Canis lupus familiaris: one gene and its partner. The protein of the gene in region 2 purifies or fractionates together with the protein of the main gene of each other region. This does not show direct contact. Links are inferred from orthologs where the notes say so. Each region holds a gene or a part of one and is shown on either strand. Other genes may lie near its edges.

What was found.
Region 1: the proteins of KLC3 (region 2) and KIF5B purify together in Homo sapiens (affinity purification with mass spectrometry; 3 studies listed by BioGRID and IntAct, with this or other methods). This does not show direct contact. The link is inferred for Canis lupus familiaris from reciprocal best matches to the Homo sapiens genes KLC3 and KIF5B.

Annotation. Positions count from the first base shown.
Region 1 is NC_049223.1:12,675,329-12,679,881, reverse strand, and holds the start of KIF5B (kinesin-1 heavy chain), read right to left. Parts: upstream 3,070-4,553; 5' UTR 2,618-3,069; coding exon 2,492-2,617; intron 1-2,491. Other genes in the region: phosphate carrier protein, mitochondrial-like, read left to right, coding at 3,070-3,240, 3,374-3,470. UniProt on the Homo sapiens protein: Microtubule-dependent motor required for normal distribution of mitochondria and lysosomes. Can induce formation of neurite-like membrane protrusions in non-neuronal cells in a ZFYVE27-dependent manner.
Region 2 is NC_049222.1:110,906,790-110,911,094, forward strand, and holds the start of KLC3 (kinesin light chain 3), read right to left. Parts: upstream 2,968-4,305; 5' UTR 2,925-2,967; coding exon 2,864-2,924; intron 354-2,863; coding exon 88-353; intron 1-87. UniProt on the Homo sapiens protein: Kinesin is a microtubule-associated force-producing protein that may play a role in organelle transport. Plays a role during spermiogenesis in the development of the sperm tail midpiece and in the normal function of spermatozoa.

The DNA of each region.
Region 1 (4,553 bases), on a different chromosome or scaffold from region 2:
AAGAATCCTTAAAAATTATTTTCTATAGGAGCACAGATTATATCTCTCATTCAGTAACATTATAAGCTAAAATAGCTGTCCTTTAATTTAACCAGAAGATCGTGTACAAGTGTTTTAAAAACATGTTTAAAATAATTTAGTTTTAAATGCCGCATTGCAGCAATTCCTTCTTAAAACTGTTGATTTTGAATCAGGATTTAGTAAAATGAACAAAACAAACCAAGACATGACTTTACCTAAAGATTTTCAAATTTCACTCTCCCAGCTATCCCTTATAAATTTTCAAACAGCCTTAAAAAATTCATTAAAAAAATTGAGACCTCAGAGTAATCAATGACTTTGTATATCAAAAGACCAGTTCTTGAAAATATGAACTAAACATGGCCCCTTTAGGGCCATGTGACTTCGTTGTATTTCTGCTTAAACTTAAAAAAGAAAAAAGACTAAAAATGGTTACCAGTTTACCTAAAGGCCAAGTGTGTATTACTGATTCACAATTCAATCACCTATCCTTTATTTCTATTATCATTTAAATTTATTTACATTGTTAAGAAACTTAAATAAGGAACTTTTAAGAACTTTATCCAAAGGAAATAACCTAGTATACAAGTGTGCTTCCTGTGGTAATTAATTTTTTTCTTTTAACTCCTCATATGTCGTATTTGGGCAGAAAGTTGCTTTCTCAACATAGTTTGTGAATCCTAAATCTTATCATTCCTACAAATGAATCTTGATAATACTTATAGATTTGTTTGAACACCGACGCAAATCTGCAAAAAATAATACATTCTTAATACAAGTCTAAAAGGAAAATTGTTTTGTGTCAATTACTGCCATAGTTCAATAATCACAAAAATTCTATGAGAAACTAGTATCCAGTTTGCCAACTAACCCAGCCCTTGCAAGCTTCCTGATTCCACGTCAGAGAGCATTCTAAAGGAAAAGGTGACTACTTCTGTGCTTCTTAGTGTTAACACGTCATTTATAGTTTCTCCCAAGAACTTGTTAACAAAAAACCAGCCCCCCCAGTCTTCACACAGTAGCTGGCAGTTATTCGTATGCAATTTAATGACTTGTTGCCAAAAGCCTACCCAGCAACAAAGAGCTATAACATTCATTTTTCTAAAGCTGAACTTTGCAAACTGTCACACAAAAACTTTTAAAGAACTTCAGTCTTGTTTTATAGATCAATGCTTTTAATTATCAAAGTCCCTTCTCCTGTGACCTTCTTTGTCCTATTTCCAAACTAAACTGTGCAAACAATATGCTAAATATGGAATGCCATGGGAGAAAAAAAAATTAACATTTAGATTTTGTACCAGGATAGCCATGTAGAAAAAAGTTCTGCCACAATGGCATTACCAAGAAATATAAATTTAATTTTTAGTCACAATTCAGTATTCTGTAGGCAGTGTCCTACAACCCATTTTAATCTTGAATTACGAATGCAAAATATTTTCAGAGACCTTTCAATACCAGATATCAAACCTCAAAAAAAAAAAACCAATAAAAATAAAAAATAAACCTTACATCTAGGTTTCCCTGACAACAATCAGCCAACTCTGGCTATGTTTTATACTCCAAACGACACTATTTCTCCATCCTCGAGATTATCAAAATCAATTTCTCTTCAAGATAGAACTAGGGATCGAATACTAAACAAGAAATCCAGTTTACTGATTAAATTTTATTTTTTTAAAAGCCTGGTTTATGATACTTTGATACACACACAATAAGTTAACACTCTTCGCTATACTGTTACCCCATAAAACCCACTAAGAGATTATATAATTCTGGGCACTTACTTGACCCAATCTGAGTTGGCTAGATGTGCTAGAAACCTGAACAAAACTGCTCACTCCCATTTCACAAGAAAACTCAGGTCTTTTAACAGTCCTCGATTCGCCGCTTGTAGTACTTCATAGAACGTTCATTCATCACTCAAAGGGCAGGTGGGTGAACTCAGGAAATACATGCATATTTGTAGTTGTTTGATAATTTTCTTCCTCCCGAGAGGCAAATATAGTCCATAAGTAGCTAATCTTTCATTTCCATACAACTAAGTATCTTTACTATTTAAGGTACAGGAAAGCCGATCATTAAAGCTCAGCATTCCTAGCTGAACTTCCATCTTGCACGTGTTACAAATAGTAAACTTGGAGGTAGTCCAAAGCAACAGTAACCGCGCACACGCGCAAACACAGGCAGACGTGCACCCCACTCACTCCCCGGACGGTTCCTGCAGCGCCCCAGGTGGGGGAGTGTCCAGACCCGGACCGGGAGCCTCCCTTCTCCCGGCACTTGGGGCCGGGGTGGGGGCGATCCAGGAGCATCCCTCCCCACCGCCCTCTGAACCTGCAAATGCTGCCGGGGGGCGGGCTGCGGATACCCCTGTCCGCTCTCCATGTTACACCCCGCCACCCACTCTTTGAACCCCGCGTCCAGCCTGGCCCAGAGGAGCTGGACGGAGGGGCGGGCCGGGGGCACTCACCGCGATCATGACCGTGTCTTCTCCCTGAAACTTGGCGATGTACTTATCGCCGCGGTTGACCTCAGACTCGTTGAGCGGTCTGAAGCGACACATCACTTTGATGTTGCACTCGGCCGGGTCCGCCATCTTCCTCACTGCCGGGGCGGGAGGCCGGGAGCCACTCCCCGCCGCTCAGTCTGGAAGCGAGCGGGCCCGCGCTGACGGGAAGGGTCGCGGAGGCCGAGAGAGACCGGGGTCTCCGCGTCGTGCTTCGCCCGGCGGCAGCTGCCGGGGAGCCCGGACTGGGAGCGCCGGCGCCGGTAGCCGTCGCCCGGAGGCTCACTTCCGATCCATCATGGCAGCTATGGCGGCGGCGGCGGCGGCGCGGCGGGGAGAGGCGGCGGCTCCTCAGCTTCTCCCTCTCGGCTCGGGCCCGCTGCTGTGGCTCGAAGGGGGTCTAGAGCACGGGGAAATCGCTCCCTCCTTCCTCGGAGAAGGCAGGCCGGGCACGCCGTTCGCCCGCCCGGCAGTGCGCTCGCCGGCTCGCCGGCAGCTGCCCGACCACTCCTGAGGCCGTAGACCGGCGACCGGGCGGCGGGATGGGCGGCGCGCGAGGAGCAGGGCGCACGCGCGACGGTCCCGGCCGGTGCCGACCAATCCGCGCCCGCCTGCCGCGCAGCCGCCTTGCCGCCGCTCTCCGCCCGGAGCCGCCGAGCCGAGTTTTACCCGCGGCTCCTTACGGACCTAACTTGGGCTCCGCCGGCTGCGAGGTGTCTCGGAGCCAGGGCACACGCGCTTGGCTTTCCTTTCTACAGGGGTCACGGGGTTTGTGAAAACTACCTTATGTTGTAGTCAACTTAAATGCAGTGCTGTATTCCTAATAAGGAAGTGTTTGGTCTGCAGATAAAATTGGTTCCTAGTTCTCAGGGCGCTTTGCCAGAGAAGGGAAGATTTGAACCTAGGGCGAGGCCCGGCTCTGCGGTTGAAGCTGTCGTTCGAAGTGCGTGGGAAGGGGATCAAGAAAGATAAAGGAAGTTTCTGTTAAGGAATGAAGAAGATTGAGCGCCCGGGTGGCTCAGTGGTTGAGCGTCTGCCTTTGTTTTGTATATATGTATTTTTTATTGGAGTTCAATTTGCCAACATATAGTATAACACCCAGTGCTCATCCCGCCAAGTGCCCCCCTCAGTGCTGGTCACCCCCCCCCCCACCTCCCCTTCCACCACCCCTTGTTTGTTTGCCAGAGTTAGGAGTCTCATGTTTTGTCATCCTCTCGAATTTTTCCCAATCATTTTCTCTCGTTTCCCCTTTAATCCCTTTCACTATATTTTATATTCCCCATATTAGTGAAACCATATAATGATTCTCCTCCAATTGACTTACTTCACTCAGCATAATACCCTCCAGTTCCATCCACGTTGAAGCAAATGGTGGGTATTCATCGTTTCTAATGGCTGAGCAATATTCCATTGTGTATATATATATGATATATATATATATATATATATATATCATATATATCACAGATTCTTTATCCATTCATTTTTCGGTGGACACCGAGGCTCCTTCCACAGCTTGGCTATTGTGGACGTTGCTGCTACAAACATCGGGGTGCAGGTGTCCTGCCATTTCACTGCATCTGTATCTTTGGGGTAAACCCCCAGCAGTGCAATTGCCGGGTAGTAGGGTAGCTCTATTTTTAACTCTTTGGGGAACCTCCACACAGTTTTCCAGAGTGGACTCACTCCCCGGACGGTTCCTGCAGCGCCCCAGTTCACATTCCCACCAACAGTGCAAAAGGGTTCCCCCTTTTTAAAGATTTTATTTATTTATTCATGAGAGTCATATATATAGAGAGACGCAGAGGGAGAAGCAGGCTTCATGCAGGGAGCCCCACGCGGACCGATCCAGGGTCTCCAGGATCACACACTGGGCTGAAGGCCGCACTAAACCTCTGAGCCGTCCGGACTGCTGCAGGGCTCCCCTTTTTGAACTTGGCGACAACAGCTTTTTGCAAGACATCTATGAAGGCAAGTGAAACAAAAGCAAAAATGAACTATTGGGACTTAAGATAAAAAGCTTCTG
Region 2 (4,305 bases):
CCTACATACTTGCCTCCCTCATCCCGGGCCTCCTCCCAGCTCTGAGCCTCCCCCCCCATGGCTGGATAGCTGCTCCCCCCCCCATACCTGGGCCTCGCCCAGTCCCAGCTCGATGGCCTCCAGCGCGTGGCTCACCACCTGCTGCTTTTCTTCCAGCAGTTCCAAGCCAGCCACCAGGCCCTGTCCTGCCAGCGCCTCCGCCAGGTGCCTGGCCAGGCCATGGTGCTCTGCTCGCAGGGCCTCCAACCCCTGCACCACTTGTCGCGTCTGCCGCACCAGCTCCTCGGGGCTCAGGCGCTCCGGGCCCAGCCCCACACTTCCAGGGGCTGCCACCTGCACGGACATTGCTGTTCCTGGGGTGGGTAGCAGGGATTGGGGGGTCAGGGCCAGGCAAGCAGGCCCATCAGTCCCTCCTCACCCTGGCCGGCTCCCTGTCCCGCACCCATCCCAGCCAGCTGGCAACTGGAAACATTCTAGTCTAGCTTTGCCTGTCCTCAGCCATGGGCCCTGCCCTGAGGGCCACTCAAAATCTGGGGCAACCAGTGGTCTCGTGGCCTCTCACCTGCCCTCAGCTCACCTGGCCAGCCCTGTCTATCCCAAGGGCCCCAGATACCTGGCCCCAGGACTCCCCGTGTGACCTGGACTGGAGGCACACGCCTCTGCTGGGTGTGTGGGGCGGGGCATGTGGAGGCGGCCTCTCCGTGAGCTCATTCTTAGGGTGTTTTTGTTGGGAACCAGTCGGACCACTGGGGCTGGAGGGGTGGGGCCGGAGGAGAGGGCCAAGGGGCTGGGGCACTGGAAGCAGAGGAGCCCTCTAGATTTAGGGGGATGGGGGGGTGCCTGTGTGTCAGCTCCCAGGGCCTGATGGATCCCAAGGGAACAAGGACTCCACCCTCCACTGCAGACAGGCTCCGCCAGCCCAAGGCATGTTGGGACACACGTGTGACAGGCACGGCCCATGGATGTCACACTAGCCCTGTGACAGCTCAGAGTCTGAGGCCTAGATGCTAATGGGTGGGGGTCTCATGTGTGGCACTTTATGTGGTTGTATGTAGGTGACAAAGTCAATGACACAGCTGCTGGAGCCTCTGTAGCCTCTGTATTCACACACAAGCACACTCACTCCCCTCCCAGAAACAGACCCCAACACACGCACACCCTCCCTTCTTAAATACACAATGCGACACACACGTTCTCCTCCTCTCAGAAACTGAATACCTGCTCTTTCTTTTTTCAAATGCAGTGCAATATATACGTACTTTCTCAGAAACACACCTGCTCGTACACACACACACTCCCCTCTACAAGAAGACGGCTCAACATGCACACTCCTTTCTTTCTTAAAAACATAATATACATTTTCTCTGAAGCAAGACATACAGGACACTCTCTTTCTCCTCTAAAAAATAAAAATACAATCCTACACATCCACATTTTCCTTTCAAAAAACCTAATCCAAGGGTGCCTGGGTGGCTCAGTTAAGCGCCTGCCTTCAGCTCAAGTATGATCCAGGGGTTCCAGAATTGGGTCCCACAATAGGCTTCTCCCTCTCCCTCTGCTCTTCCCCTGGCTCATTCTCTCTCTCAAATAAAATCTTAAAAAAAAAAAAAAAAAACGCAACACACTTACTCAGGCTCGTGCACGCACACCCACATACTCTTTCAGAAACAACACATGTATGCTCTCCCCTCTTGGAAATATAATCCCACACACTGGTGTATTTTCCTCTTGGGAAAAAAAGCCAACACACACAGAAACTCTGTCCCCCCTCACTAGTGAAAAGATAACCAAATCCCAAATCACTCACATTCAGGCTATCTCTTTGCAGTTACCCCCATGACACACCTTTCCCGCACTTATAAGGTCCTGCAAGCAGCTAGCTCTCCATTACATGCCCATCACCTCCTCCAGGCACGCATGCGCGCGCGCGCGCACACACACACACACACACACACACACACACACACACACTCTTGGGATTCACTGTGGACCTATCATCTCCTTCCCCACTTCCCCCAACACCTTGCCCGGCCAGCCAGAGATTCACGCACCTGCACACAGCATACACACAGATACACAGAGCTTCAAACACGGACATACAGACAATTCCTGAACTCAGATTCAGTTGTGGAGACACAGAGAGGTGTTTGCATAGACCCTCTCGGGCATGTGCCTCACTCAAGCCACCAGGGCGCCGTAAGCAGCCTAGTGGTTTGGGTACCTACTTACCTGCTCACGAACATCATACACCAAGACACACAGGAAGGCAGGCACATAATCCACGGATTTTCTACACTGCAGGCTCTCCCCTGCCATCAATCTCTACATATACGTGTGTGCAGACACCAGTCTCTCTCACTATACGTATATATGTGTGTACATGTCTCACCATACTCCGTGTCACACACAAGCCCCACAAAGTTACGATCACACGTTCATGGAGTCATTCAGACAGCTCCATTATTCCCATGATTTTTGCCCACACTCAGTCCCGTGAACAACAAACTCCCTTTCACACACGTACAACCGCACAGCTGACAGTGTTAATCCCAGGCACACCCTCCCCGTCCATGCGGGTCCCACATCGCCCACCTCCCTGCGGCTCCCCGCGCCTTAACAGGCAGAAAGACCGCCCCAGCCACGCAAGCTCTGAGTCACGCACCTAATCCTATAAACAGAGCAACTCCCTCCCATACACACGGCCCCCACCCCCATCATTAGACGCACAGAGGTCCGCCCACGTGTTGCATCTGAGACAGCTCCACGTCGTTCCCACAGTCCCTGGGCGCCCGCACACGGTTACACGGACCATCCCTGTCCCTTCCTCGCCCGCACCCACCGCCGGAGCCCGTCGCGCACACACCTGAGCTTCGTACACCATCACACACACCTGAGCCTCGCACACCGCCTCTCATACGCCCCATCTCCACGCCCGCACCTGCAGGCCAGCCCCCTAAACCGCACACCTTACCGCGGCCGGCCTGGCCCAGCCCCGCGCACCCCGGCTTCCCCACCCCCGCCGTCACAAGGGCCCCCGCCCTCCTCCCCCCAGGCCCCGCCCCGTCTTCGCTCCTGTTTACCTGCGCACCGGGGAGGGGGCGCGGCCCCAGCTGGGCCTCGGGACCCGGGAGGGGGGGCCCCAGGGCGGGGCAGGAGGGCCCAGGGGGCCCAGGAGCCCCAAGGCCCGTCCCCGTCGCCAGGCCAGCGGGCCCCAGGGTGCGCGGGGCCCAGCCCTCACCCTCCGCCCCCATCCTCGCGGTCCCCGGGACTCCCCCGCCCAGCACTCGAGGGGCCCACCTGAGCGCCGGCGGCTCCGGGACCCGCTCCGCCGAGATGCGCCGGGCCGCGTCCCGCACACCGCGCACGCCCGGCGGCTCCCAGCTGCGCCCTGGGTCTCGGGCCGCGGGCGGCTCCTCCGAGGGGCGGGGCGGGCGGAAGCCCCGCCCCCGCAGGTGAGCCCGCCCCGCCCCCCGCCGCTCCCGCGGAGCCCAGCCCGCCCGCCGCGGGGGAAGCGCCAGCGCAGCAGCGGACCCGCGAAGCCCTCCGCGTGCCTGTCGGGCCCGTCGAATCTGAGCGCGAGCCCAGCGCGCTGGAGGCTGCCAAGCCGGGGTGCAGCGCAGCTCGACCCTTGGAAACTAGGGATCCCAGGCCGAGGGCTTTCTAGCAGCGCCCGCCGCCCGGCCTTGCCTTCGGCTGTGCCCGCTGCCTGGGCCCCCCCTATTCCCACAGACGCCATTCGTTAGTCTGGTAGCTTCACAAAGGCCGCTTCCTCCGAGAGGCCTTCCCTACTGGCCCTTTTTTCTTTAAAAAAAAAAACTATTGGAGTTCAATTTGCCAGCATATAGCATAACACCCAGTGCTCATCCCATCAAGTGCCCCCCTCAGTGCCCGTCACCCAGTCACCCCCACCCCCACCCACCTCCCCTTCCACTACCCCTTGTTCGTTTCCCAGAGTTAGGAGTCTCTCATGTTCTGTCCCCCTCTCTGATATTTCCCACTCATTTTTTCTCCTTTCCCCTTTATTACCTTTCACTATTTTTTATATTCCCCAAATGAATGAGACCATATAATGTTTGTCCTTCTCCGATTGACTTATTTCACTCAGCATAATACCCTCCAGTTCCATCCACGTCGAAGCAGATGGTGGGTATTTGTCATTTCTAATGGCTGAGGAATATTCCATTGTATAGTAAACCACATCTTCTTTATCCATTCATCTTTCGATGGACACCGAGGCTCCTTCTACAGTGTGGCTATTGTGGACATTGCTGCTAGAAACATCGGGGTGCAGGTGTCCCGGCGTTT